Linked DNA regions of Anolis sagrei. The protein of the gene in region 1 purifies or fractionates together with the protein of each later gene. This does not show direct contact. Links are inferred from orthologs where the notes say so. Each region holds a gene or a part of one and is shown on either strand. Other genes may lie near its edges.

What was found.
Region 2: the proteins of SMNDC1 (region 1) and SF3A1 purify together in Homo sapiens (affinity purification with mass spectrometry; 3 studies listed by BioGRID and IntAct, with this or other methods). This does not show direct contact. The link is inferred for Anolis sagrei from reciprocal best matches to the Homo sapiens genes SMNDC1 and SF3A1.
Region 3: the proteins of SMNDC1 (region 1) and SF3A2 purify together in Homo sapiens (affinity purification with mass spectrometry; 4 studies listed by BioGRID and IntAct, with this or other methods). This does not show direct contact. The link is inferred for Anolis sagrei from reciprocal best matches to the Homo sapiens genes SMNDC1 and SF3A2.
Region 4: the proteins of SMNDC1 (region 1) and SF3B2 purify together in Homo sapiens (affinity purification with mass spectrometry; 3 studies listed by BioGRID and IntAct, with this or other methods). This does not show direct contact. The link is inferred for Anolis sagrei from reciprocal best matches to the Homo sapiens genes SMNDC1 and SF3B2.

What each region holds. Positions count from the first base shown.
Region 1 is NC_090023.1:209,886,373-209,893,450, reverse strand, and holds the start of SMNDC1 (survival of motor neuron-related-splicing factor 30), read right to left. Parts: upstream 3,018-7,078; 5' UTR 2,909-3,017; intron 1-2,908. UniProt on the Homo sapiens protein: Involved in spliceosome assembly.
Region 2 is NC_090034.1:48,544,899-48,552,551, reverse strand, and holds the start of SF3A1 (splicing factor 3A subunit 1), read right to left. Parts: upstream 3,008-7,653; 5' UTR 2,908-3,007; coding exon 2,845-2,907; intron 704-2,844; coding exon 591-703; intron 1-590. Other genes in the region: CCDC157 (coiled-coil domain-containing protein 157), read left to right, coding at 5,483-5,700, 5,778-5,952, 6,617-7,241. UniProt on the Homo sapiens protein: Component of the 17S U2 SnRNP complex of the spliceosome, a large ribonucleoprotein complex that removes introns from transcribed pre-mRNAs.
Region 3 is NC_090034.1:51,589,719-51,597,146, forward strand, and holds the start of SF3A2 (splicing factor 3A subunit 2), read left to right. Parts: upstream 1-4,479; 5' UTR 4,480-4,605; intron 4,606-7,428. Other genes in the region: PLEKHJ1 (pleckstrin homology domain-containing family J member 1), read right to left, coding at 341-408, 4,314-4,479. UniProt on the Homo sapiens protein: Component of the 17S U2 SnRNP complex of the spliceosome, a large ribonucleoprotein complex that removes introns from transcribed pre-mRNAs.
Region 4 is NC_090032.1:17,942,166-17,949,332, reverse strand, and holds the start of SF3B2 (splicing factor 3B subunit 2), read right to left. Parts: upstream 3,008-7,167; 5' UTR 2,969-3,007; coding exon 2,848-2,968; intron 570-2,847; coding exon 523-569; intron 1-522. UniProt on the Homo sapiens protein: Component of the 17S U2 SnRNP complex of the spliceosome, a large ribonucleoprotein complex that removes introns from transcribed pre-mRNAs.

The DNA.
Region 1 (7,078 bases):
TGTCTATGAGTAAATTGAGGTATACACCCAAGCCATAATTTGTCTTTAAAAACTTAATATCCAGACATAATCCAAAGTTTCAGGACTGTATTAGTTACTAGTGACAGGCCTGACAAGTCTCATTTTGGGAGAAAAGTAAAGTACAGATAAAATAAATAGAAACAAAGGTTTGCTTTTTTATCCCCTCCCCTGGAAAATGTTCAAGCCATGGATAGTTGAGTCTATGGATACTGAGGGAATTAATTTTACATGATCTATGCTGTAGAATTAATTCCGCTTGACACCACTTTAGTTTTAGTTCACTGAGGCACCAGCACTCTTTGGGAGAGGAGAAAGCCCTTGTACAACTACAATTCTTGGGATTCCATAGTATTGAGCCATGGTAATCAAAGTAGTATCAAGTTGTGTTAATTATACAATGTAGATGCACTGTAAAAAGCTCTTGACATACCAGGATACGATATGGCTATTAGCTTGTTAACCACACTAGAACCATGCACACAATCCCTCAACATTATTAACACAGGGAAGAGATATCTAACTGTTCCTGCATAATATTTAGATCACATCCTTACATAGAGGTTGCACTTCTCACATGGTCTTCAAAAACATTTTTTCACAATATGATGTTATGCTATACAGTAGTAGTAGTAATAATAATAATATTTTATTTGTATTCTGCTTTTCTCACTGAATGAGACCCAAAATGGCTCACAGCACTTTAAAAACAGTACAAATAACAAACACATAAAATAAAACAATCTATGACATAAATATTCTAAAATTGTTTTACAATTACTATTATTGTGTGGGACAACACTTTGTACTTTGCCCAGAAATCAACTGGAGTGATTTTAATATAGCTGTGATAAGATCACACCTAGATGTCCCTGTAACCTATCTGACTGCCATATTTTGAACTAATTGGGGTTTCCAAAGTTGATACTGAGGTAGCCTAATGCACAGTGCATTATAGAAGTCCAACTTCAAGTTACCAGTCTGTGCACTACCATAGTTTTTGTTCCATTTTTAGGAAGGGTAGCAACTTGCATATCAATCAAAAATAATAAACACTCCTGATTGTTGCATCGATCTGGGCTGACATTTGGAGACAGTACGTTGAAAAACAGCAATGAAAGTGGTATTCCAATGATAGTCTTGAAAGCTGTGTCAATGTCTCACTTTACAACAGGGGTCCTCAAACTTTTTAAACAGAGGCCAGGTCACAGTCCTTCAAACTGTTGGGAGGGCTGGATTATAATTTGAAAATTTTTTAAATGAATTCCTATGCACACTGCACATATCTTATTTGTAGTGCAAAAAAAGCCACTTAAAAACAATACAATAATTAAAATGAAGAACAATTTTAACAAATATAAAATTATTAGTATTTCAATGTGGAGTGTGGGAAGTGCAATGACTGGTAATTTGACCATAGGAATGGAACATCGGAAAATGATACTGGATTGTGGGTTTGACGATGAGACGACACGGAATGGCTTTTGTAGTAATGTTGATGTTTTTGATGAGGATGTTTTTGATAATGAAGAATTGTGGATTATTTTACATTATGTCTTGTATTTTGCACTTGTTTTTCTATGTTGTACACTGCAGTGAGTCGCCCCTGGGCTAAGAATTGCGGTATATAAGCGAAGTAAATAAATAAATAAATAATACTTTTGGGTGCTGAGATGTATTTATCTGTTTGTTTGTTTAACATATTTATATACCATCCCTCTCAGCCCGAAGGCGACTCGAGGTGGTTTACAGTTGGCAGTCAATGCCCCCAAATAACATAAAACACAGCTAAAAACATTACATATAATATAAACCATATAAAGGCAATAAAACAATAAAAAACATACAACACAAGTCATCAGTGTCTCATCACTAAAATCATTTTTTCCGTTCTTGTTGTTGTGTGCTTTCAAGTCGTTTCAGACTTAGGTTGACCCTGAGCAAGGGCCAGGTAAATGATCTTGGAGGGCTGCATCTGGCCCCCGGGCCTTAGTTTGAGACCCCTGCTTTACAACCTCAGACCTATTCTAAGGCCCCTTCTACATTGTAATATCCAGATTACCTGCTTTGAACTGGATTGTATGGCAGTGTAGACTCATATAATCCAGTTCAAAGCAGATAATGTGGATTATCTGCTTTGATATTCTGGGTTATATGGCTGTGTGGAAGGGGCCCCACATTATCAGTTTTGAACTGGATAATATGGCAGTAGAGAACTCTCTTCAAATCAGATAAAGGGTATAACTATCTTTCATAATCTGGATTATATGGCAGTGTAGAAGAGGGATAAACTGTTCCTTGGGAAATAAGAGACCGTAGCTGGTTAATATTAATAAACAACGTTCACAACAATGATTTGGGGTGGAAAGAAAGTAAGATGGTTTCAGGCTATGCCATGCAATCTTTTGACTCAAGAGTGATAAAAACCATGTAAGAGAATAATAATAATAACGATATGTTAGAAATCACAAAAAGATATTGTTTTTGTCTGCTAAGATGGTCTAGCGGCAACAACAACAACACAGTTTGACAAAATGTCGGCCTGTAACTCTCACGTCCTCCTTTTTTTCCCGCCCTCTTCCTGTATGATTGTAACACTGGTGATGCCCGATAAAGGCAGTACATCCTACGGAAAGGAAGAATCAGGATTGGGATATATATATATATATCTCAGGAGGGAAAGAAAAAATTAAGAATGCAAGAAAGGAGGCGCGCAAGGGCCTGCAGGCCAAGGAGAAGCAGCTGAGGCGCCTCTCACAAAGGAAGGCCGAGAGCGAGGGAGGGAGGGAACTGCGAGGAAGGAGGGGGATTTTCAGGCCCGGACCGGACGACCTTGGCGGCACAACAGGCCGGTGGAAACCCGGCCAGGCCGCCCCCCGCTTTCGCTCACCTTGGCCTCAGGCGCGGAGGAGGGCCTCTCGACGCCGGAAAGCTGCCTGGCCTGCCTGCCTGCGCACGGCACGCTACGTTACGTTACGTAGGAGCGCTTCCCTTTCCTGAAGGGCGCCTTAGCGACGACGCACGTAAACCCCGCCCCTCTCCCCCCGTCGCCGGAAATGAGCGTTCTCGCGAGAGGTGGCCGAAGGGAGGCGGGATGAGAGAGAGAGAGAGAGAGAGATCCGCGCTGTCACGTGGTGTGTGTTTGTATACAAGAGCGCGCGTGCTTCCCTTGCTTCCGCTTCTGAACCATAAAAGTTCCCCCTTCTTTCTTTTATCCTTCCCCTTCCTTCCTTCTTTCCCTGTTTTCTGCCCCCCCTTCCCCTTGGAACCCCCGGTGGCGTTAAACCGCTGAGCTGATGAATTCGCAGGTTCGAATTCGGGGAGCAGCATAAGCCCCAGCTTCTGCCCACCTAGCAGTTCGAAAACATGCAAATATGAGTAGATCAATAGGTATTGCTCCGGCGGGAAGGTAACTGCACACTATACAATCATGGTGGCCACACGATCTTGGAGGAGTCTATGGACAGTGCCGGCTCTTCGGCTTAGAAATGGAGATGAGCACCAACCCCCAGAGTTGGACACGACTAGACTAAAAGTCAGGGGAAAACCTTGGAAATAGTATGATAGCTGAGTCCGGAAGCTCCGAGCGTTTAGGTTAGAGTACGGGTTAGGGTAAGGTTTAGGTGCCATATCGTTCTTTAGGAGCGCTGCTTATGCCAGAGGAACTTAGCTAATGTAAGCCAGGCCGGAGATAGATAATATAGAAGGGGAATGTAAGAGTTCTTTAATAGAGAAACCCTAACCCTTACTTTAACCCTGAACTGTACCCTAAGCCTAACCCCTTACCCTAACCCGTACACTAACCTAAACTTTACTCTAACCCAAACCCTAAACCTTACCCTAACCCGTACTCTAACCTAAACCCTAATCCTTATACTGACCCAAACCCTAAACCTTACCCTAACCCATACTGTAGCCTAAACCCTAAACCTTACCCTGATCCGTATGCTAACCCAAACCCTAAACCATACTCTAACCCAAACCCTAAACCTTACCTTAACCCGTACTCTAGCCTAAACCCTAAACCTTACCTTAACCCGTACTCTAGCCTAAACCCTAAACCTTACCCTAACCCGTACTCTAACCCAAACCCCAAACCTTGCCCTAACCCGTACTCTAACCCTAACCCATATGCTAACCCAAACCCTAAACCTTACCCTAACCCATACTCTAACCAAACCCTAAACCTTACCCTAACCCGTATGCTAACCCAAACCTTGCCCTAACCCATACTCTAACCCTAACCTGTATGCTAACCCAAACCCTAAACCTTACCCTAACCTGTATGCTAACCCAAACCCTAACCCATACTCTAACCCAAACCCTAAACCTTACCCTAACCTGTACTCTAACCTAAACCCTAAACGTTACCCAGTTTGAGGGACCATTAAAAATTGGGAGGGGGGTTGAATTTTTTTTAGTGAATCACAAAGAATAGTTCCATAACATAAAATGATTTAAATAGTATAGTTCATTCTATAGTACATTTTATATAGATTTAATTAAATCAATTTTCTATTTTAGTTACAAAGTTTCGAGTCTTAAAATAACGGAAAATGACTGTTAATTGGTAGTGTATAGTTACAAAAGAATACTACGTCTGCTGGAAACATTTGAAAAGTGTGTCAATACACTTTGACAGAAATCAGGCTCCATTGATAGACTTTGGTGGACACTCAAGAGTGCAAGTCCAATCAATCTTTCTTGCCCCATTTGCTGCTTATGTATGTTTTCAAACATTTAAGAGTTGAAAACAATCTATACATAGGCATAGCAATGGGAATCGTAGTATCTGGAAAGTGGGGAGGGGGGGAGCAAGGGGAAAAAGGTCTATTAGGAACCTGCCTCCTACCTCAAGCTGTGGCAAAGAGCACAGCAGGGGGACAGAGCAGCCTTAAATAGCCTGCAGCTCCTCCCCTGTCAACCACCCTCACCAGGTCTGGTCTCCTTCAAGAGGGCCTTCAAATCCTGCCCCCCCCCCCCCGGCCAATGCCTTAGGCTTTGCTTGCCATTTATGGGTGTCCCAACTTGGTTGTTTCCACTATATTGGCTATTGCTGCAAGTAATGGCATGTGAGTAAACTCAAAATTTGCTTGAAATAGTACTTGCAGTTCTGGAGGGGCTCGTTTATTTGCTTCCCATAGACTTAGCATGGGAATTTGGTTAACCAATTAAAATTCATATGTAAAAACCAGGGTGGTTTTTTAACCTGAAAAATTATCATCGGGATAAAGTAAGATTTTAGATTGTGACTTGTTGCTCTACTATGCAACCATGATATTGTACATATTGTACCTGTTGAAATTTAATACAAAAGCTTAAAATCTCCATCCAATGGAACTCCAAGAGTTTATAGTTTCGTAATGAGTAGTAGGAATTAAGCTCTGGTGCATAATCCTGAGATAAATAAGAAAATATGAAGTAATCATCAAAGTGCATGTCACAGGATTCTTTAAGCCATGATAGTTAAAAAGATATAATGTGGATATGATGAGTGATTTCAGCTATCCACTAAAGATTGGTGTTTGGAATTTGGCACACTTCACTACTCCGAAGGTCAGATTAAAACAAACTAGGCAACAAGAAGTTTGTTCTTTTGGAGGTCAGAATAGAGTCTGCACTCAAAGAACTGACCTATCCCAATCCAAAATATAGAACATTTGTACACTTTTGACAACTATTCATAACACCCACAGTCCAGTGATTGGTCCTCCTGGTGGCCGGAAATTTAAGGAGCTGTCATTCATTGGTTTGAAGTGTGGGTCCTTTTAAAGGTCCGCCCCCAAGGGATATGTAGACCTTCAGAATGAGGTGTGAAAATATGGAAAAATTGTTAATATATCGGGTTAATTCCTCAGTCCAGTTTATAAACAGTGTCCTGTGAACACAATGGTCAGTTATGTTGATGTAACGGCTCAATGGAAGATATACACTGGCAATCTGTGTGCCCATCCCCAGGAGCAGATAACTCTGAATCCTATCAATAAGTTGGAAAAACCCTACATGATGGTTTTAGCTTCACAATGAATGGGAAACCAGACATAAACAGACATATTATTTAACAGGTACACAAACAGACATATTATTTAACAGGTGTTAATTTCATCCAGGACTTATGCACTGGATCAAATAAGCACACATCTCCCTACACATCATCAGTGAACACAGTTATATTTTTATCTATGAACATATTACCATGTAAGAATTATGAATGAAGTTGTATAGAGTTTATGAATCAATCTCAAGAGAGTACACAGACAGATTTAGTAGTGAAGAAAATCCCTTTTAAATGGCTCTTAAACATTCAGGGAAAATACCAGTCTGGGGGTTGGGAATCATAGAAGCATTTCCCATGGAGCCTTTCCTTGAGGCGATCCACTTATTCACAGGGCAATATGTTAATGTCTCTGAGATGTGCAAGTCAGCCTTCCATGACCTTCTGGCAAGGAAACTAGTCCAATGTGGGCTAGGTAAAACTACAGTGAGGTGGATCTGTAATTGGTTAAATGGACGAACCCAGAGGGTACTCACCAATGCTTCCTCTTCATCCTGGAAAGAAGTGACGAGCGGAGTTCTGCAGGGTTCCGTCCTGGGCCCGGTCCTGTTCAACATCTTTATTAATGACTTAGATGAAGGGCTAGAAGGCAGGATCATCAAGTTTGCAGACAACACCAAATTGGGAGGGATAGCCAATACTCCAGAGGACAGGAGCAGGATTCAAACCGATCTTGACAGATTAGAGAGATGGGCCAAAACTAACAAAATGAAGTTCAACAGTGACAAATGCAAGATACTCCACTTTGGCAGGAAAAACGAAATGCAAAGATACAGAATGGGGGACAATGCCTGGCTCGAGAGCAGTACGTGTGAAAAAGATCTTGGAGTCCTCGTGGACAACAAGTTAAACATGAGCCAACAATGTGATGTGGCGGCAAAAAAAGCCAATGGGATTTTGGCCTGCATCAATAGGAGCATAGTGTCTAGATCTAGGGAAGTAATGCTACCCCTCTATTCTGTTTTGGTTAGACCACATCTGGAATATTGTGTCCAGTTCTGGGCA
Region 2 (7,653 bases), on another chromosome or scaffold:
ATCTCACCCAAATGCAGAGCAAGTAACCCCCTTTTCCCCACCCATTATTATGATTATTATTATTCACTTAATTTTTCTCCCAATATATCTATTTTTCTATTAATGTTTTCACTTGGTTTTCAAAAATATACACAACATTTGAGACCACTCCCTTCATACCACTTCTCCTGTAAGCACAACATTGAAAATAAAAAATTACATAAATGACTATAAAAACACGTACTTAAACTCTATATATACTAGAAATGTGTCATTTATTGTTATTGTATTTAAATAACATTTATTAACTTATTATTTAGGAAATTTCCAGATTGTCTTTCTCCAACGGACTCAAGGCGGTTTGCAATAGCATCAAAACATACAATATAAAATATTTTCTATTTATTTGTATAAAACTTTGGAACTCCCTCCCCACTGAGATTAAAACTGCCCCTTCATACCTACATACTTGTCACTTATAGGTCATATATTTAAATATGGTGCATTTAAATAGAATATTTTAATATCATATATATATAATTTCATATAGCCAGACATAGCCACAACTGTCCTCTTTATTGATTCCTATGAAACAGAAGACTAACACTCACCTGGCCACAAAGCTGGCTGTCTTGTCCACAATGTTCCTGACCTCTGGCGGAGGGTAGATGATGCCCACCACCGGCTTGGCGGGCACTGCCTCCTCTTTTGGCTCATCTTCTGGCTGCAATGAGAATTAACATAACAAAATGGTGGGACAGAACTGAATCATCATAATCATCAACAACATAATAACTTCTAGCCATCCATGAAATTCATGGCAGGGGGTGGGTGAGTGGGCACATGCATTTTCCTCAATCCCAGGCCAAGACTCTTTTTAAGGATTTGTCTCTAAGCCTGTGTATCTTCTTCTGTTATTCTAAACACATTTAACTGCGGGTGAAGCAGCCTCCAGTTCCAGCAATGTGAAGAATTAATAACAGCAAGATTAATCACAATGATAACAAACAGCCAAGGACATGGCCCTCCAGTGGACAAGAACCTGCATTTCCTGAACTAGATAATAATAATGACAATAATAAGTTATATCAATACCATCCACATTGTGAACATCAACAATGCTATAACAGGCAGCCGCCAAGTTACACACAAAACAGTTCCGTATGTTTGTTCTGAAGCTGAATTTGTTTGTAAGTCAGAACACACACATTTTTAACTCCAGCCAAAAATATATACAGTGGAATCTCTACTTAAGAGTGCCCCAACTTAGGAGTATTTAGGAGCATTTAGAATTAAGAATTGTTGCTCGGCCCTGGTTTTGCTTTGACACACAAGCAATGTTTCCAGTTAAGAACAAGTGCCAGGGCTTCAAGAGAGCAGCCTTCATGCCTTGTGCTCATGTCCACTTTGAGGAATTTGTGGTTAGTTGGTTTTGTGTGGTTTTTATTCCTGGTTTGTTTGGCTTCATGGAGAGAGGGAGGGGGGCTGGAATGAGGGAAGTAGGAAGAAGAAAAGGAGGCTTCTGGCTCTTCGCTTGGTGCTTCCTTGCCACATCTTTGTACTTCTGCCATTTAAACGCTGATCTTTCTTTCTGATTGTTCCATGTGAATGTTTTGCCTTGCTGTTACACTGGTTGACACACGTTGTTGCTGCCAGTGTACTTCTGGAGAAGTTACTGTAATGCGCTCTACGTGGAGCTGCCCTTGAAAATGGCTCGGAAATTCCAACTGGTTCAACGGGCGGCGGCCAGGATGTTAACTGGCGCTCCTTACAGAGAGAGATCAACCCTCCTGTTTAAGGAGCTCTATTGGGCTGCCGTTTACCTAGCAAACCCAATTCAAGGTGCAGGTGCTTACCTACAAAGCCCTAAACGGTTTGGGACCTGCCTACCTGCGTGACCGCATCTCCGTGTATGAACCCACGTGATCCCTTTGTTCATCCGGAGAGGCCCTGCTTACGATCCCACCTGTGTCACAGGCGTGTTTGCTGGAGACGAGGGACAGGGCCTTCTCTGTGGTTGCCCCCAACTCTGGAACACCCTCCCCAAAGATATTAGACTAGCACCCATGTTGGCAGTCTTCAGGAAGAATCTGAAGACCTGGCTATTCCGATGTGCCTTTCTGGAATAGGATAATCTCCAGCACTATGTCCCAGAAGCACTTTATTCGAGTTTAAGGCTCTCTGTGCATTGCACTTGCCCGGAAATCCAACATACCACCTGCCACACCCAGCACTTTTTAACCTGTACCCATCACTGGCCTGGCCCTGGTTTTTTATTCTGTAATTGATGTATTGTCTTGTTATTGCTTATGTTTTAATTTACTCTAAATGGTATTGTTATTGTTTTGTTCTTGTTGTGTTGAGGCCTTGGCCTTTGTAAGCCGCATCGAGTCCTGCGGGAGATGCTAGCGGGGTACAAATAAAGTTTAATAATAACTTAATAATAATAATTTTGGGGGATTTGACCTGGATATTTTGGAGTTGTAGTTCACCTTTATCCAGAGAGCACTGCACCCAGCCGAGTACGGATCTGGACCAGGCTCGGCATACAGATCCAACGTGGCCAACTTTGTACACTGGTGGACTCTGGAGTGATTAACCTTGAAATCTGGGAGTTGTAGTTCACCCATATTCAGAGATCTCTTTGAACCCCACCGAACATCCAAAGACAAACAATGCCCCTTTCAAGCTAGTATAATATATAATACAGGTGTGTATATGATCCCACGGGGGCCCTCAAGTCCCTCGCGCAAAGCGCCCTGGGAAAAGCCCCCCTCGCCCCGCAATGCATCATGGGAATGGCGGCTCTGCCTTGAGGTGGGTTAAAGGGGGAAAAGAGTCGTTTTCTTCCCGAGCAAGAAATACCTGTTTGGCCTCGGGCGGCGTGGCTTGGGCCGGAGCCATCACCTGGACGGGCCCCGCCGGCATGACTCTCACTTCGCTCCGGAGTACAACCGCGGAGAAGAAAGACGCCAACAGCTGCGATAGGACCGAGAAAAATGGCGACGGGTGCGCGCGCAGCCAGTAACAGCCCCGCCCACAAGAGGAGGGGGCTGTGCGGGGATAGCCACGCCCCTTTAAACGTCCTCCTCCTGGAAACCCGTAGTCACGCCCCCTTTAAGCGCATGCGCTCCCCTTCCCCTTGCAATCCCAGCTGCACGGGGAAGTCACGCCCCTTTCAACGCCCCCTCCTCCTGGTAACCATAGCCACGCCCCCTTTAGGTACATGCACTCCCCTTTCCGGAAGTTTTTATCAATTGTATGTTATGCTCTCTATAATAAAAGGGGCGGAGCGAGGGAAGCGTTCTTCGTTGCCATGGCAGCAGCCGAGGCCTAGAACGCGAGAAGAAGCCTGCTAGCAGTAAGAGGCGGGCATTCCGTAGGTAACTACACACAGTTAACGGCGTGCCGTTTTCTAAATGAGCCATTCAGCCAATTAAGGATGAAACATGAATACGAAGCATTTCTTGAATATATTATTTCTATACATAGTCCTAGAGTTGTGTTTTCCCAATCTTGGGCTCCAGGCTTTTTGGACTTCTTCCCTCAGAAGGCCTCTTCATTGGACAAAGCAGCTGGGTCTGAGTCCAGAATACCCACTGTTATTATTCTATTGGACAAAACAGGAATGTTAACATGATGATGATGATTAATTATATCTCTATTATATATTTTATAATGTAATGTGTTATTATATATTTTATTGATTTATATCCCTCTATATCTCTCCATATGGAGATTCAAAAACATAAAACTTAAAATATACAAAAATACAATAAATCAGTGTATCTTATAATTATATATTATCAGTAGCAATTATAGTTAATATATTAGTATTACTATATTACAATATTCCTATTATATATTATAGTATTGTATTATTGTGTTGTTTGAAGGCTTTTGTGGCTGGAATCACTGGGTTGCTGTAAGTTTTCCGAGCTGTCTGGCCATGTGCCAGAAGCATTCTCTCCTGACATTTTGCCCACATCTATGGCAGGCATGCTCAGAGGTTGTCAGGGTTTATATATATACCTGTGGAATTATGTCCGGGGTGAGAGAAATAACTCTTGTCTGTCAGCACGTGTGAATGTCGCCATTGGCCAGCTTGATTAGCATTGAATGGCTTTGCAGCTTCAAAGCCTGGCTGTTTCCTGCCTGAGGGAATTCTTTGTTGGGAGGTGTTAGCTGGCCCCGATGAAGAAACACAATCTACAAACAATCTACAGACCCACTAAGAAAATCCAACAAATGCTAGGTTCAGCAAAGAACAAGAAGGATCCTCTCACCTCTGCCAGAGTCTACCGTATACCAATCAGCTGTGGACAAGTCTACATAGGGGTCACCAAATACAGCATTGCCCAGACACGAATCAAGGAAGATGAAAGGTACTGCAAACTAATCCAACTAGAGAAGTCAGCCATAGCAGAGCACCTGATGAACCAATCTGGACACAGCATATTATTTGAGAACACAGCAATGCTGGGCCACTCAGACAACCACCATGACAGATTACATAGAGAAGCCATTGAAATCTGCAAGCACGTGGACAATTTCAAAAGAAAGGAGGAAACTATGAAAATGAACAAAATCTGGCTACCAGTATTAAAAAAACTCTAAAATCATAACAACAAATAAAGAACAACCGTCAGAAAATTAGGGAATTCCAAACAGGAATCAATCAGGGCCAGCTAACACCTCCCAAAAAAGGATTCCCCAAGCAGGAAGCAGCCAGGCTTTGAAGCTCCAAGGCTATTCAATGCTAATCAAGCTGGCCAATGGCAACATTTACACTTACCTCAAACAGACAAAAGTTCTTTCTCCCACCCTGGACATTATTCCACAGGTATATCTATAAACCCCACTTGCCTAGTTTCCAACAGACCTCACAACCTCTAATTATACCTGCCATTGATGTGGGTGTAAAACGTCAGGAGATAATGCTTCTGGAACATGGCCAGACAGCCCAGAAAGCTCACAGCAACCCAGTGATTCCGACCATTAAACTCTTCGACAACATGATGACTAGCTGCTTTGGGACTCAATTGAGAGAGAAGATTGGTGTATAAGATTGGTTACTTCTTGCAGCAACACCACAGGCACTCCAGGTGGCCAGATACTGGTCAAAGGACATTTAATCAGCTGCCAAGTTTGCAAAATTTGTGGGGTTTTTTTTTATCTGTTTGTTTGTTTTGTTCTGTTAGGAATGTAATACAATGTTCTGGTAGCGGATGACATGATAAAATATAAATATAAATATAAATATAATTATTATTATTGTGTTTGCTTTGAGTCAATCCAAAGATTAGAAGAGAGAAATTAAGGTATTAGTTAATAACAACAACAACAATAATGGTGGTCACTTTAGTGCCTTGATCAAAAGAGAAATATAGGATAATAATAATAATAATAATAATAATAATTCATTTTGAAGCTTTTCTTTTGCTCCAGGAACATCAATGCCTCATTGTTTGTGATGGTGGCCTTCCTGGTCAATTGAAAGAACATGGAGAGCCTGCAGAGGGACATCGTTGAGCTTCAGGGAACAGTCATTGATGTCTTCTCCCGATCCAGACCCATCCGGTGTCCTTCGTGGAAGTTTCCGGATAAGGCCTCCTGCGACTTGGACCTGGTTTCCTTGCTGGAGCGTTACGGCTTTGCGGAGAACAATCCTGAACTCACCCAGCGCTCCCATGTCCTCCTTTTGGAGCTCATCATTGACAGGTGAGGAACAGTCCGAAGGATAGAACTCACCTGGAAGCCAAGGAGGATAACTAGGATTTGTTTTCTGCTCCCTTGAGGCTGCTGCTGCTCTTCCAAAGCTTCACGGAATATGCGGAGAACCTGATCAGCGAAGGAGCTCCTTCCTCCCCATCCGGAGCAATGGGGCCTTCCATGTCTGTTGGATTGGCGGTGAGGACATACTGGGACAGCATGGTGAAACTGGGGAATCTCTACCAGCAGCTGGTGATGGAGGTAGGGACATGCTTTGCATACAGACCTCAGAAGCCAATTATACCTCTTCTCCCTCTTCATCTTTTCCTTCTCTTCCTCCCTTTCCTTTTCTCTCTCCCTTTCCTCCTCCTGCTTTTCCCCCTCCATCTCCTCTTCCCTCTCCTTCTTCACTTCCTTTTCTGTCTACTCCTCTTCTCCACCTAGTCCTCCTTCTACTCCTTTTCCTTCTTCTTTTTCCTCTATCTCCTCTTCCCTCTCTTCCTTTTCCATCTACTCCTTCTCCACCTTGTCCTCCTTCTCCTTCTTCTTCTTTTTCCTCCTCCTCTTCCCTCTCCTCCTTCTCTTCCTTTTTTGTCTCCTTCTCCTTTTCTTTCTACTCCTCCTCCTCCACCACCTTGTCCTCCTTCTCCTTCTTCTTCTTTTTCCTCCTCCTCTTCCCTCTCCTCCTTCTCTTCCTTTTTTGTCTCCTTCTCCTGTTCTTTCTACTCCTCCTCCTCCACCATCTTGTCCTCCTTCTACTTACTTTCGTTCTTTTCCCTTCTCCTTTCCCTTCGTTTGCTTCTCCTTTTCTTCTTGTCCTCCTCCTCTCTTCAATCTCCTCCTCCTCCTTCTTTTATTTCTCTCCCCCCTCCTCTCCTTCTCTTCCTCCTACTTATTTATATCTTGCTTTTATCTCTTAACCAAGAAAAAAGGCAACAAAGAGGATGTTTCTAGCAGAGAACAAGCAGAGAGCAAACGGACCAGAAGCTCTTGCTCCCAACAATCGGAGTCAGATGTTACCATACTGGGCATGCAGGATTCTTCATTGACCTCGTCAATTGCCAGTGGGCAAATGTATGGACACTTCCCCAACTGTATCCCTTCTCTAACTACTGAGCCGCCCGTAGTGCCTTGTGAAGCCTGCGAGAAGGCCCAGACCAGCCTCCAGGAAGTGGGCCGTGCCATTGTCGGCCTCTGCGAAGGCCAAAACCTCCCATCATCTCTGGGCAAGTTCCTCAAGACCGCAGAGGAGACCCTTGGGGGCAGAGCCCTGTCCGTTGTGGACATTGACTATTGGGCCGCCGAGCAGAGCAAGGACATTTCCCGGATTGGCAAGCACCTCCGGACACTGACAGAGTTGGTGGGCCCTTTGAAGGGAGAGCTGGAAGCTGCCCAGAAGCAGGTGGAGGACTTGGAGGTCCGCCTTCAGGAGGAGAAGGAAGCCCAAGAGCAACAGAGGAAGGAGGCTGAGCAGTCATTCGAGAAGAAGCACAAGGAGAGCTTACGACGAGTGGGACGGTTGGAGAAGGAAAAGGAAGATCTCCAGAACAGTGAGTAGACACCAAGGATTGTGTGATCACCATCCTTGGGTCCTATCTCCAAGAGAATAATGATAATAAACTTTATTTCTATACTGCCCTATCTCCCTGAGGGGACTCAGGGCTGTTTACAACAGAAAATTGGCAAACTTTCAATACTGATGTAACAGATCAAATCATAAGCAATAAAATAAACAACATCAGGTGTACTTATAGAACAACTCAAAATAACAAACTTAGAAAGATATATCCCATATCTCCTGCTCTTCATCTTAGGTCTCATCTCCAAGATATATCCCATATGTATATTGTTTTTAAATGCTTATTTGTTTTACTGATTGCTTATTTTGTTTTATATCTGTGTCTTTGATCATTGTTGATTTTGTGTTGTATTTTTAACATGTTGGAAGCCGTTTTGGGTCCC
Region 3 (7,428 bases), on another chromosome or scaffold:
ATTATTATTATTATTATTACTACTACTACTACTATACCTGCCTCTCCCAAAGTTGGCTTACACCACACAAGTAAAGCAGAACAGATAAAACATAAAGATATTCAAAAGGCATAGAATTTATTATTATTATTGTGCTGTTGAAGGGTTTCATAGCTCGAATCACTGGGTTTTCCTGGCTGTATGGCCGTGTTTCAGAAGCATTCTCTCATGTTTCGCCACATCTGTGGCAGGCATCCTCGGAGATTGTGAGGTTTGTTGGAAACTAAGCAAATGGGGTTTATATATCTCAGAAAACTCACAGCAACCCTATTATCATCATCATCATCCCCACTGATTTTACCTCGGCTTCGTCCGTACGAAAATAAAAGAGGAAGTTGACCACCAGTTTCACCAGGCGCTTCTTCAGGGCTACAAAAAGAGAGACATCCAAATTGAAATATTAAATCAATAATAATATAATTATAATAACTTTATTTTTATATCCCGCTACCATCTCCTTGAAGGGACTCGGGGTGGCTTACGCATGGGACAGAATGTCCACAAGACATAAAAGCAAAAACAATCTATAAAACTACATACATTAAAAGCATTGTAAAATACAACAACCCAAATAAAACACACATTAAAAATATTAAAAAGCATAAAACATTGCATCAAAGCCCGTCAGATCAGGCTCAACAAAAACTAATGAGCAAGCTAACTAAAATGGGCATGAAAAAGATAAAAAGGGGCTGGGCAAGGAATAGTGCAAATAGTATACATAGGAAGTGGATAGATGTAGAACTGTCTAGCAACCTAGGGGCTGGGCCTACATCACTAAGGACTAGTCATTCTTGAATGCTCGCTGGAACATCCAGGCTTTCAGATCCCTACAAAAAGGGGACAGTTTGGGGGCTTGCCTAATCTCCCTGGGAAGGGTCAGGGGGGCACAACCAAGAATGCCCTCCCTCATCTCTACCAGCGTGCTTGTGACGGTGGTGGAAGCGAGAGGAGAGCCTGCACAGCAGATCTTAGAGATCATACCAGTTCTTAGGGGGGATACGGTCACGAAGATAGGAAAGACACTAACTGCTTAAGGCATTGTAGGTCATAATCTGCACTTGAATTGCAACTAGAAACCTATCAGCCGCCAGTGGAGCTGCTTTAATAGGGGCACTGTGTGCTCCCTATAATTAGCTCCAGTTAGAAGCCTGGCTGTCGACCTTTATACCAGCTGCAGTTTCTGAGCAACTGGTACAGCCCTACGTAGTGTGCATTGCAATAATCCAATATTGAAGTAATTAAGCCATGGATCACCGTGGCCAAATCCGGCTTCTCGAGGTATGGTTGCAGCTGGCGCACAAGTTTTAACTGTGTGAAAGTCCTCCTGGCCATCGCCGACACCTGAGCTTCAAGTGTCAGCGCTGAGTCCAAGAGGACCTCCAGACTGCAGACCTGTGCCCTCAGGGGGAGTGTAACCCCGTTGAGCATGGGCTGCCATTTTATACCTCTATCAGCATCATGACTGACCAGGAGGACCCCTGTCTTATCTGGATTAAGCCTCAGTTTGTTGGCCCTTATCCAGACCATCACAGCTGCCAGACACTGGTCCAAGATCTGAGGGGCTTCCTTGGATTTAAATGGAAAGGAGTAGAATTGTGCTTAATTTGCGTACAGATGGCACCAAACGCCAAAACTCTGGATGACCTCTCCCTTTCATGTAGATGTTGAAAAGCATGTGAGATAGAATGCAACCTTGCGAGACCCCACAGGTCAATGTCCAGGGATCCGAACAGGGGTCCCCCAGCATCACCATCTGGGTGCGATCCTCCAGGAAGGAGTGGAGCCACTGCGAAGCAATACGCCCCAAGACCCATTCCAGAGAGCCGACTCAGAGCAAGACCATGGTTGATGGTATCGAAAGCTGCTGAGACATCCAAGAGAACCAGCAGGGAAACAAACACTCCCCCTGTCTAGCTCTCTGCGGACGTCACCCACCAAGGCGACCAAAGCCGTCTCTATACAGTGACCAGGCCTAAAACCAGACTGTGATGGATCAAGATAATCGAGTTGAATGAGTTCTGTTTAATTTTAATACTCCCCATGTTTAATTCTGGTTTAAATGTTTACTTGTTTTTGGCTTTAAAATGTAGACTTCTATTTATTTTATTATACTTTTTGAAACATTGTTGGCTGCTCTGAGAGAGAGAAAAGCGAGATATAAAACTAGAAATATTATTAATATATATTATTGGTAATAATAATGTATAAATAAAAATACTCAAATAAAATAAACCCAGGCCACTCAATGCTGCCGAGCAGGGGTCCCACAACATCACCATCTGGGTGCAATCCTCCAGGAAGGAGTGGAGCTACTGCAAAGCAGTGTCTCTCCCTTTCATGCAGATGTTGAAAAGCATGGGAGATAGAATGGGACCTTGCGGGACCCCACAGTCAATAGACAGGGATCCGAGCAGGGATCCCCCAGCATCACCTTCTGGATGCGATTCTCCATGAAGGAGTGGAGCCACTGCAAAGCAATACCCCCAGGACCCATTCCAGAGAGCCGACCCAGAGTGAGACCATGGTCAATGGTATCGAAAGCTGCTGAGATATCCAAGAGAACCAGCAGGGACACACTCCCCCGTCTAGCTCCCTGAGGAGGTCATCCACCAAGGCGACCAAAGTCGTCTCCATACAGTGACCAGGCCTAAAACCAGACTGTGATGCATCAAGATAATCGGTTTGAATGATCTTCTGTTTAATTATAATACTCCAATGTTTAATTCTGGTTTTAATGTATTGTCGAAGGCTTGTCACACACACAGATAGATATCTACATAAAAACTCCAACCATCACCCAAGTAAAAAAAGAAGCACCATTAAAGCCTTGGCAGACCGTGCAAAAAAGAATCTGCGAACCCCACCTCCTTCAAGATGAACTGAACCACCTCAACTGGGCTCTACAGGCCAATGGAGACTCCACCTCAGACATCAGAAGAGCTGCAAGACCAAGAACAAGCCACAAGAGTAAAGATGAAGATCCACCCAGAGGAAAAGTGTTCTTGCCATACATCAAGGGAACCACTGACCGCATAGGGAAGCTGATGAGGAAACACAACATACAAACAATCTACAGACCCACCAAGAAAATCCAACAAATGCTACGTTCAGCAAAGGACAGAAGGGATTCTCTCACTTCTGCAGGAGTCTACTGTATACCATGCAGCTGTGGACAAGTCTACATAGGGACCACCAAACGCAACGCCCAGACACAAATCAAGGAACATGGAAGGCACTGCAGACTACTTCAACCAGAGAAATCAGCCATAGCAGAGCACCTGATGAACCAACCTGGACACAGCATTTTATTTGAGAACACAGAAATACTGGACCACTGTCACAACCACCATGTCAGACTACACAGAAAAGCCATTGAAATACACAAGCATGTGGACAATTTCAACAGAAAGGAGGAAACTATGAAAATGCACAAAATCTGGCTACCAGTATTAAAAAACTCTAAAATTGCAACAGCACAACAACAGAGAGGAAGCAGGCAGGGACATATAATTACCTCTCAACAAAAGTTTGCTCCAGGTACAGTCAGGCCATTATATGCTAATCAAGGTGGTCAGTTGAAACATTCACACCTAGCTCCAGCAGATAAGAGTCCTTTGTCCCGCCCTGGTCATTCCACAGATATAGAAACCCTTTTTCCTAGTTCCAACAGACCTCACTACCTCTGAGGATGCTTGCCATAGATGCAGGCGAAACGTCAGGAGAGAATGCCTCTAGACCATGGCCGTACAGCCCGAAAAAACCTACAACAACCCTCTGGTTTTAATGTTTACATGTTTTGGCTTTAAAATGTAGACTTCCATTTATTTTATTATATTTTTTGAAACATTGTTGGCTGCTTTGAGAGAGAGAAAAGCGAGATATAAAAACAGAAATACTATTAATAATATATATAATTGGCAACATATAAATAAAAAATACTCAAATAACATAAACACAAGCCACTCAATGCTGCCTAGGCAAATATTCCCAATCCTACATGAAATCTGTAATATTTCTGAGGATTTAAAGGCCACTCAAGTTTCTAGTCCAGAATAGGAAAGGGAAAAGCCTCCCAAAAGGTAGTACTACTTGAGAGGCGTGGCCTGCGGCGTGACGTCACGCGACACCGCCCTCGCGACTCGAATGGGCTGTTTCCCTGAGGGGCGTGGTTTGGACCGTGACGTCACGAGGCTGGTCCCTCCCTGTGCGTCGTGACGCCGCCGCTTGGTCTCTGTTCCCCTCCCCCCTCCTTATTCTCTCTCCTCACTCACGGCTTCCCTTCTTGGGCGCCCGCATGAGCACCTCGGCGGCTTTCTCCGCCGGCTGCCGCGAGAGCGAGAGCAACTCCCGCTCGTTGAACCGCATGGCCGACGCCCCCCTCTCGCGGTAAGAGGCGCTGCAATAGTCCCACTTCCGCTCCCGGCCTCTTCTCGACATCACTTCCGGCGCGCGAGCCTGAGACGTTTTGGCCGGAAGTGGATCCTTGAGCGGCGCGTTTGGCTTTTTCCCGTGCTCTTTCTCTCTCCCAGAGAGGAGAGGAGATTGAAGCGGGGCCGAAGCGGGGTAAGCAATGGCGTCCTGAGGGTCTAGGGAAGGGTTCCAAACCTTTGGCTTCAACCAATGTTGCTCTATATCTTTGCCTGGTTTAATTGCATGTATTGGCCTCTTGAGGGTTTATGCCAGGCATGGGCAAACTTGGGCCTTCCTCCCGGGTGTTTTGGACTTCAACTCCCATAATTCCTAACAGCCTCAGGCCTTTTCCTTTTCCCCCTCAGCCGCCTAATTGTAGTGCTCGCCAAATCAGTTCATGGGAAATCCGATCAAATGCTTTTTCGAGATCAAGGAATACAAAGTTCAGTGGTTTCCAACAAATCAGTACATTATTATTATTATTGTTATGGCCAGAGTTAACTTCACACTTGCACAGCCTCAGCGCGTTCCAGCAGCTTTCCTCCTGCTCAGAAGATTTTTCAGTCTTCTGCTTCCACAGTAGATACTTGAGCACATGCCAGGCCATTATCCAGTTTTTACCATTGTCTTTCCCCCAGTTTAGATGATATTACATACTCACAGACTCACCACAGTACGCACTATCTTGTCCAAGTAGACAGGTTCTTTTATAGTCTTTGACGAATAACAGCACAACATCAAAGGAAGGGGAATATACATTGTACATGGTTTCCTTATATACAATACATTTACAATACATTTACTCCTTGATTGCTTACCAACTAATTGACCCAACCCAAACCCAGGATTGTGTCATAGACAATCACTCTGAGTAGGCAAAAACACATTTCCCAAATGATTCCCCACATACAATCAATACATTCTCAGCATTCCCAACAGAAGCCCATTAACCCATTAGCAGTGCATGACTCAATACATAGTAAAACCTAACAATTATTTTATTATTAACTTTATTTGTACCCCGCTAGCATCTCGCGAAGGACTCGATGCCCCTTACAAAGGCCAAGGCCTCAAAATACAACATAACAATACAAAACCTAAGCAAATTAAAAACAATTAAAGCAATATTAACAACAAGCAATAAACAATACACCAAGACACAATAAAACTGGGCCGGGCCAGAGTAATGGGTACAGAATTAAAAGTGCTGATGTGACAGGTGATATGTAAGGATTATAGGGTAAGTGCAGTGTGCAGTATGCAACAATCTTAATTCTAATAAAGTGCTTCTGGGACTTGGTATTGGAGATTCCTAATCTGGGAAGGCACATCGGAACAGCCAGGTCTTCAAGTTCTTCCTAAAGACTGCCAATGTAGGGGCCTGTCTAAGATCTTTGGGGAGGGTGTTCCAGAGTTGGGGGGCCACCACAGAAAAGGCCCTGTCTTGCGTCCCCACCAAACGCGCCTGCAACGCAGGCGGAATCACGAGCAGGGCCTCTCCGGATGAACGAAGTGAGCTCGTGGGTTCATAAACGGAGATGCGGTCAGGCAGGTAGGATGGTCCCAAACTGTTTAGGGCTTTGTAGGTAAGCACCTGCACCTTAAATTGGGCTCGGAAAATAAACAGCAGCCAGTGGAGCTCCTTGAACAGGAGGGTTGACCTCTCTCTGTAAGCAGCACCAGTTAACATCCTGGCCGCTGCCCGTTGGACCAGTTGGAATTTCCGAGCCGTTTTCAAGGGCAGCCCCACGTAGAGCGCATTACAGTAGTCCAATCTAGAGGTGGCCAAGGCATGGACCACCCCGGCCAGATCAGCCTTTGCGAGGTACGGTCGCAGTTGGCGCACAAGTCTCAATTGTGCAAAAGCCCTCCCGGACACCGCCGACGCCTAAGCCTCAAGCGTAAGCGATGAATCCAAGAGGACTCCCAAACATATAAAAACATAATACAGATTAAAACATTAAAGAATATAAAACACCACAAAAGTAATAAAAACAACATCATTAGCGTCTCATTATTATCAAGCATTGTCCAGTTCCATTGTCAAATCGTTCAATTTCCTGTATTAGCTACTCTGCATTTATAAATGCGTGCTCGAACAGCCATGTTTTAACTTGCCTCCGAAACGTTAAGAGGGAGGGAGCAGATCTAATCTCCCTAGGGAGGGCATTCCATAGCCGAGGGGCCACCGCTAAAAAGGCCCTGTCTCTCGTCCCCGCCAAACATACTTGAGACAAAGGCAGGACCGAGAGCAGGGCCTCCCCAGATGATCTTAAAGTCCTTGATGGTTCGTAAAGAGAGACACGTTCAGACAGGTAAGTTGGGCCAGAACCATTAAGGGCTTTATAGGCCAAAGCCAGCACTTTGAATTGGGCCCGGTAGCAAACCGGCAGCCAGTGGAGCTGGCGCAACAAGGGGGTTGTATGCTCCCTGAGCGCCGCTCCTTTTAGCAACCTGGCTGCTGTTCGTTGGACTAGTTGAAGCTTTCGGACCTTTTTCAAAGGCAACCCCACGTAGAGAGCGTTGCAGTAGTCTATACGGGATGTAACCAGAGCGTGGACTACTGTGGCCAAGTCAGACTTCCCAAGATATGGGCGCAGCTGGCGCACAAGTTTTAACTGTGAAAATGTTCACCTGATCACTGCCGAAACCTGAGGTTCCAGGCTCAGCGATGAATCCAGGATCACTCCAAGCTGCGAACCTGCGTCTTCAGTGGGAGTGTAACCCCATCCAACACAGGCTGAAACCCTATGCCCTGTTTGGCCTTGCGACTGACCAGGAGAACCTCTGTCTTGTCTGGATTCAATTTCTTTTCCCAATGATTTTCCATGAGTAACCGGACAGCATATATTGCATCTATTGTGCCACACTCCCTGACAAAGCCACACAGATTTGGTGTAATGGCTGTGTGTATATATATGTGTGTCTGAATATATAATAGTAAATAATAATAAATTTGGCCACGGTGGTCCACGC
Region 4 (7,167 bases), on another chromosome or scaffold:
TATTATAAATATTATATGTATATATATATTATATTATTAGAATAGCACAGGAGACAAGGAGATTCCATCTCACCTCAAAAAAGGTCAGTGCATTTATTTATTTATTTATGACATTTATAAGCCGCCTTTCTTACCCCAAAGGGGACTCAGAGCGGCTTACAAGGTATATATTACATACATTATATTACATTATTAGCATAGTACAATATAAGCATTAAACACTGCTATATTGTACCATATCAATATATCGTAATATTATTAGTAATATTACTTGTAATATAAATATATAATTATAATATCATATTGTTATTATTATTATTATATTACATTATATATTATATAATTATTATATATTACATTGTACTATAACATTATACTGTAATATTATTAGTAACATATTGTATTACATTATATTATCAATTGTGTAACTCTTTCTTATTCCCAAGCACAATGGTGGGCAAATTAAGAATTATAATAAGGTCTAAGGCATCAATTTTTTGGCCATAACAAATAAGGACTTACTTGAAGCGTGTATGTCTTCAGCCGATCCAGCAACTCCTCACGACTCCCTAGAAGAAAACAAAGAAGTCATCTGGCTCATCTAAACTGAGGATCAATGGCTTCCTCCCAGGAGTGTGCATTCCTGCATGGCAGGTGCTGGACCCAGGGACTGCACTACCCCCATACCATACTATCAGCATGGCAAGGCCTAAATCAAGAAATAGCTTCCTAAGATCTAAAGAGATATTTGCAGGAACACCTCAGCAAGTTGCACATCGCAAGTGCTGAACTTGACTCAGCACATCGAAGATGGCTTTGAAAGGCAGCAGATCAAAGGAGCTGTCTTCATAGACCTGTCAGCAGCTTATGATACTGTGAACCACCACTGACTCCTCCTGAGAAAAATGTATAATATCACAAAGGATGACCACCTCTCCCGCCTCATAGGAAACCTGCTACAAAACAGGAGCTTCTTTGTTGAGTTCCAGGGCCAGAGAAGCAGATGGTGGAAACAGAAGAACGGCCTGCCTCAGGGGAGCGTGCTTGCTCCATCCATGTTCAACATCTACACAAATGATCAGCCACTGCCAGAAGGGACAGAGAGCTTCATCTATGCTGATGATCATGCCATTACTGCTTAAGCAGGGAGCTTTGGGATGGTAGAACAGAAGCTTTCCGAAGCTCTAGGTGCCCTTACTGCCTATTACAGGGAAAACCAGCTGATCCCCAACCCATCCAAAACATAGACATGTGCCTTTCATCTCAAGAACAGAGAAGCATCCCGAGCTCTGAAGATCACCTGGGAAGGAATCCCACTGGAGCATTGCAGCGCACCCAAATACCTGGGAGTCACTCTGGACCGTGCTCTGACCTACAAGAAGCACTGCCTGAACATCAAGCAAAAAGTGGGTGCTAGAAACAACATCATACGAAAGCTGACTGGCACGACCTGGGGATCACAACCAGATACAGTGAAGACATCTGCCCTTACGCTGTGCTGCTCTGCTGCTGACTATGCATGCCCAGTGTGGAACACATCTCACCATACTAAAACAGTGGATGTGGCTCTTAATGAGACATGCTGCATTATCACGGGGTGTCTGCGCCCTACACCACTGGAGAAATTACACTGCTTAGCTGGTATTGCACCACCTGAAGTAGCAGCCAATAGTGAAAAGACCAAGGCAGTGACATCTCCAGCTCATCCCTTGTTTGGGTATCAGCCAACACTTCAACGTCTTAAATCAAGAAATAGTTTTCTTAGATCTACAGAGACACTCGCTGGAACACCTCAGCAAGCGAGAGTCCAAAAGTGGCAGGCTCAAACCAATGGCTGATACCAAATGAGAGACTCCCCCCCGGGCACACAGAAGACTGGGCGTCTTGGAAGGCGCTGAACAGTCTGCGCTCTGGCACCACCAGATGCAGAGCCAACCTCAAGAAATGGGGCCACAAAGTGGAATCCTCGACATGCGAGTGTGGAGAGGAGCAAACCACTGACCACCTGCTGCAATGCAATGTGAGCCCTGCCACATGCACAATGGAGGACCTTCTTGCAGCAACACCAGAGGCACTCCAAGGGGCCAGATACTGCTCAAAGGACATTTAATCAACTACCAAACCCGCAAATTTTGTATTTCGTCTGTTTGCCCTGACACGACAAATAAATAAATTATTAGTCTTATATTGCATTACATTATAATATTATAAATATGACATGTATATACATTATATTATATTAATACATTATCTTATATAATAGATTCAGTTTGCCAATACCTTATTCAAAATGCTGAGATAAGAAGTATTTTGTATATTTTTACGATTTTGGTCTACCTGTTGCAGCATATATATGCGTAATAAAATATACTGGAAATGGGGCTGAAGTCTAAACATGCGTATAAGTTGTTAAGTTATACATATAGCCGAGATGCTTGTCTGTTCTTAAGTTGAAAAGCACATCTGCCTTTTAGATAGATTAGGAATCAGCTGGTTTTCCCTATAATAAGCAGTGAGAGCACTGAAAGCTTCAGAGAGCTTCTGATTAACTATTTCAAAGCTCCCTGCTTGAGCGGTGATGGCATGATCGTCCGCATAGATGAAACTCTCTGTCCCTTTTGGCAGTGGCTGGTGGAGACTCCTTTCGGTTCCCAGACTGATCCGGCCCAGCTGGGCCGAGATAAGGAGTTGTATAGCCTTGAAGATAATGGTGAATTAATGGACTGGTTGCCCTGACACGACAACTAAATCAACCAAAGCCCCTGCTGCTAGGCCTCATTCAAGGCCTACACCCCCCACCGCCCGCTCTCCAGTCCCCGAGGCCCAACCGAAAGCCCTCCCTCTCACCCTGCGTCGGCGCCCCGATCTCAGCCAGCTTGGCCTGCAGCTCGTTGGGCGACCAAGCCGCGTAGCCTGGCAACGGGAGCTCCCCGGCCTTGGGAGGCTCAGAGTGCACCTCCGACGCCATCTTGCTTTTCCTTCCCCGCTTGAGACCGCGCGGCCACCGTAGAATGACGCGATGCGCTCCTCTGAACCAATCAGGAGCCACAACGTCAAAACCCGCGTAGCCAATGACGGAGCGGGAGGAGTTTGTAAACCGTGGGGAGGGAAACTCAACTCTGCGCATGCGCAGTAGAGACTAATAGGTAAACAGAAGTTGAGGGAAGCTGCCTTAGGGTGTGTTGGTCTTTGGGATTTTGGGATAGGATTGCAATGGAATAACAAAGTCGAATTGGGGTTGGGAGAAAAAGAAGGGCAGGGAAAGATCAAGGATTGGGGCCTAGGAGTAGGTCTAGGCCTATACCAGGCCTGGGCCAAGTTGGGCCCTCCAAGTGTTTTGGACTTCAACTCCCATCATTCCTAACAGCCTCAGACCTCATCCTTTTCCCCCTCAGCTGCTTGAACAGGAGGACAAAGCACCCCTGACAGATGGCCATCCAACCTCTGCTTAAAAGCTTCCAAAGAAGGAGCCGCCACCACACTCCGGGGCAGAGAGTTCCACTGCTGAACGGCGCTCACAGTCAGGAAGTTCTTCCTCATGTTGGAAGAGACCTCATGGGCCATCCAGTCCAACCCCATTCTGCCAAGAAGCAGGAATATTGCATTCAAATCACCCCTGACAGATGGCCATCCAGCCTCTGTTTCAAAGCTTCCAAAGAAGGAGCCACCACACTCCGGGGCAGAGAGTTCCACTGCTGAACGGCGCTCACAGTCAGGAAGTTCTTCCTCATGTTGGAAGAGACCTCATGGGCCATCCAGTCCAACCCCATTCTGCCAAGAAGCAGGAATATTGCATTCAAATCACCCCTGACAGATAGCCATCCAGCCTCTGTTTAAAAGCTTCCAAAGAAGGAGCCTCCACCACACTCCGGGGCAGAGAGTTCCACTGCTGAACGGCGCTCACAGTCAGGAAGTTCTTCCTCATGTTGGAAGAGACCTCATGGGCCATCCAGTCCAACCCCCTGCCAAGAAGCAGGAATATTGCATTCAAATCACCCCTGACAGATGGCCATCCAGCCTCTGTTTAAAAGCTTCCAAAGAAGGAGCCTCCACCACACTCCGGGGCAGAGAGTTCCACTGTTGAACGGCTCTCACAGGAAGTTCTTCCTAATGTTCAGATGGAATCTCCTTTCTTGTAGTTTGAAGCCATTGTTCCTCGTCCTAGTCTCCAAGGAAGCAGAAAACAAGTTTGCTCCCTCCTCCCTATGACTTCCTCTCACATATCTATATATCGCTATCATGTCTCCTTTCTGCCTTCTCTTGTTCAGCCTAAACATGCCCAGCCTTCAAGCCGCTCCTCATAGGGCTTGTTCTCCAGACCCCTGATCATTTGAGTCACCCTCTGGACACATTCCAGCTTGTCAACATCTCTCTTCAATTGTGGTGCCCAGAATTGGACACAATATTCCAGGTGTGGTCTAAGCAAGGCAGAATAGAGCATGAGGAACATGACTTCCCTGGTTCTAAACACTATACTATTGATGCAGGTCAAAATCCTATTGGCTTTTTTATTTATTATTTTTTATTTATTAACTTTATTTGTACCCCGCTACCATCTCCCCAAGGGACTCGGTGCGACTTACATGAGGCCGAGCCCAAACACAACAATACAAGCAATAAAACAACAATAAAGCAATTTAAAAACATAGACAATAAAATAAACAACATTATCAATAAAACAACACACAATTAAAAACAGAGGGGAAGCCAAATGTAAAGTTAAAATTGGAAATATGCTGGGACATGAACGGAAGGTGATACTGGTGTTTATGAAAGGGCATACGAGCAGACTTAGAAAATGTAAAGTGCTTTGGAGGACAAAGTGCTATGGGATCATTATTCCGGGAAGGCACACTGGAACAGTCACGTCTTCAAGTTCCTCCTGAAGATTGCCAAAGTTGGAGCCTGTCTGATGTCTTTAAGGAGTGAGTTCCAGAGTCGAGGAACCACCACTGAAAAGGCCCTCTGTGGAGGGGTGGCTGCCAAGGTAGCGGAAATGGTCCACATTTTCTAATGTTACACCATTAAGCTGTATCTCTGGCATTGGAGAGGGATTGCCTGGTGACTGCTGGAAAAGCACTTTGATTTTCTCGATGTTCAATGACAGGCCGAGCTTCTTGTATCGCACACAACAGGCCCGTAGCCAGGATTTTGATTGGGGGGGGGGCTGAGTTTGATTGGGGGGGGGGGGTCTGAGTGAAAGAGGGTCTACCCTAGCAAACCTTTTGTATCGTTACCCCAATACCCCCATGCATATGAGATATATTGGCAGGGGCGGCTCGTCCATTACGCGAAGTAAGCGGTCGCAGAACACTTTTTTTTGCCAGGGGCGCAGAGGCACCTCTGTAAGTGCCCCTCGACTGCCACTTGAGGAGCGCCCCTTCAGCTCACAACAGCCCTAGCAGTCTGGGGGAGCCTTGGCTTTCTTGCCTCACTGCTGGGCGATCCTCTTCCCAAAGGGGCTGGGCCCTTGAGCCTCGCCTATCCCTCTTGTTCCTGCTCCACCCGGCCACTCGGTGCGCGAACAGAACCGGCGCTCAGTCATTCTCCGCGTTTGATCCCTTCCCCATGACCGGCCCTCTTTCCCGATCCCCCGGCGCTCCACCCGCTTCCTCTCCTCTTCCCAATCCGTGGGTGGGCCAAGGGGCGGAGCCGCTGCACCTGGCCCGCTTCAGGTCCGGAGGCGTGTCTGAAGACCCCAGCGTGCATTGGGACCAAGAGAGAGAGAGAGAGAGAGAGCGAGCCCCTCCGGCTGGAGGTATCTCCCACCTCCGCTCCCTCCTTTGTTTTTGCATCTTTAGGAAAGGTGGGCATCTCCACCTCTCTCTCTCTCTCTCTCTCTCTCGGTTCCAATGGCTGAGGAGAAAGTCAGGAGAAGAGGTGACTTTTGGTGCACACGCCGGAGTCTTCAGGCACACCTCCGGACCCAAAGCGGGCCAGGCAAGGGAGCAAGTGTGGCAAGTGTAGTTACTGGGATGTATAGTTCACCTACAATCAAAGAGCATTCTGAACTCCACCAATGATGGAATTGAACCAAATATGACACACAGAACTCCCACGACAAATAGAAAATATATATCAATGATTGGTTGGCGGGGGGGGGGGGGGGGTGCCAAAATACTGTTTGCTTACTGTTGAAAATTACCCAGGACATTAAGATCGTCTGGGGAGGCCCTGCTCTCGGTCCCGCCTGCATCGCAGGTGCGGTTGGCGGGGACGAGAGACAGGGCCTTCTCGGTGGTGGCCCCTCGGCTATGGAACGCCCTACCTGTGGACATCAGACAGGCCCCTTCACTTCTGGCATTCCGGAGGAAAGTCAAGACTTGGCTTTACGAACAAGCGTTTGGCTAAAAAATGCAATGAAATACAGTAATACGGTTCAATTGATCACAGGAATTGGTATAAAGGATTATGATTACGGATTCTGATTCTGATTTGTTTGCTGAGGCATATATCTAGGATTATGATTGTTTTTGACCTGATGTTTTGTATAATGTGTTTTAACTGCCTTCTTGTTGTTGTTGTGTTGACCTTTACTATGTAAACCGCCTTGAGTCGCCATTTCGGCTGAGAAAGGCGGTATAGAAGTAAAGCAAATAAAATAAATAATAAAAAAATAATAGGGCCGCCTCTGTATATTGAGCATGGTGATCAGATCATGATATGAATAAACATAACAGTTTAAATAATGTACCAGTAAGGCCTTTTCGCAGACCATCATGAGAATTTCGGGGGGGGGGGGCTGAAGCCCCCAAAGGCCCCCCCCCCCCCGGCTACATGCCTGGCACACAAGCTGTAACCCTATGCCCTCTTCGGCCTTGCGACTGACCAGGAGGACCTCTGTCTTGTCTGGATTCGATTTCAATTTGTTCACCCTCATCCAGACCATCGCAGCTGCCAAGCACCAGTTCAAGACCATAGTAGCAGGTGGAAAAGAGTTATAGAGCTGAACATCACCTGCATGCATTCAAAACCCATTTGTAGTGGCCCCGACAGAGCTAAACCCAGCTGACAAACTGTGTTGGGAAAACGTACCTTATTTAATTAAAAAATAAATAACATTCTACATAACAATATGAAAGCAACGAATTAAATGTTGTGCAGCAGTGTTTGGGAGGAAGGAGAGAAGCAGCAGTCAAGCCTGATGAAAATGTCTTTCCGTTCTTC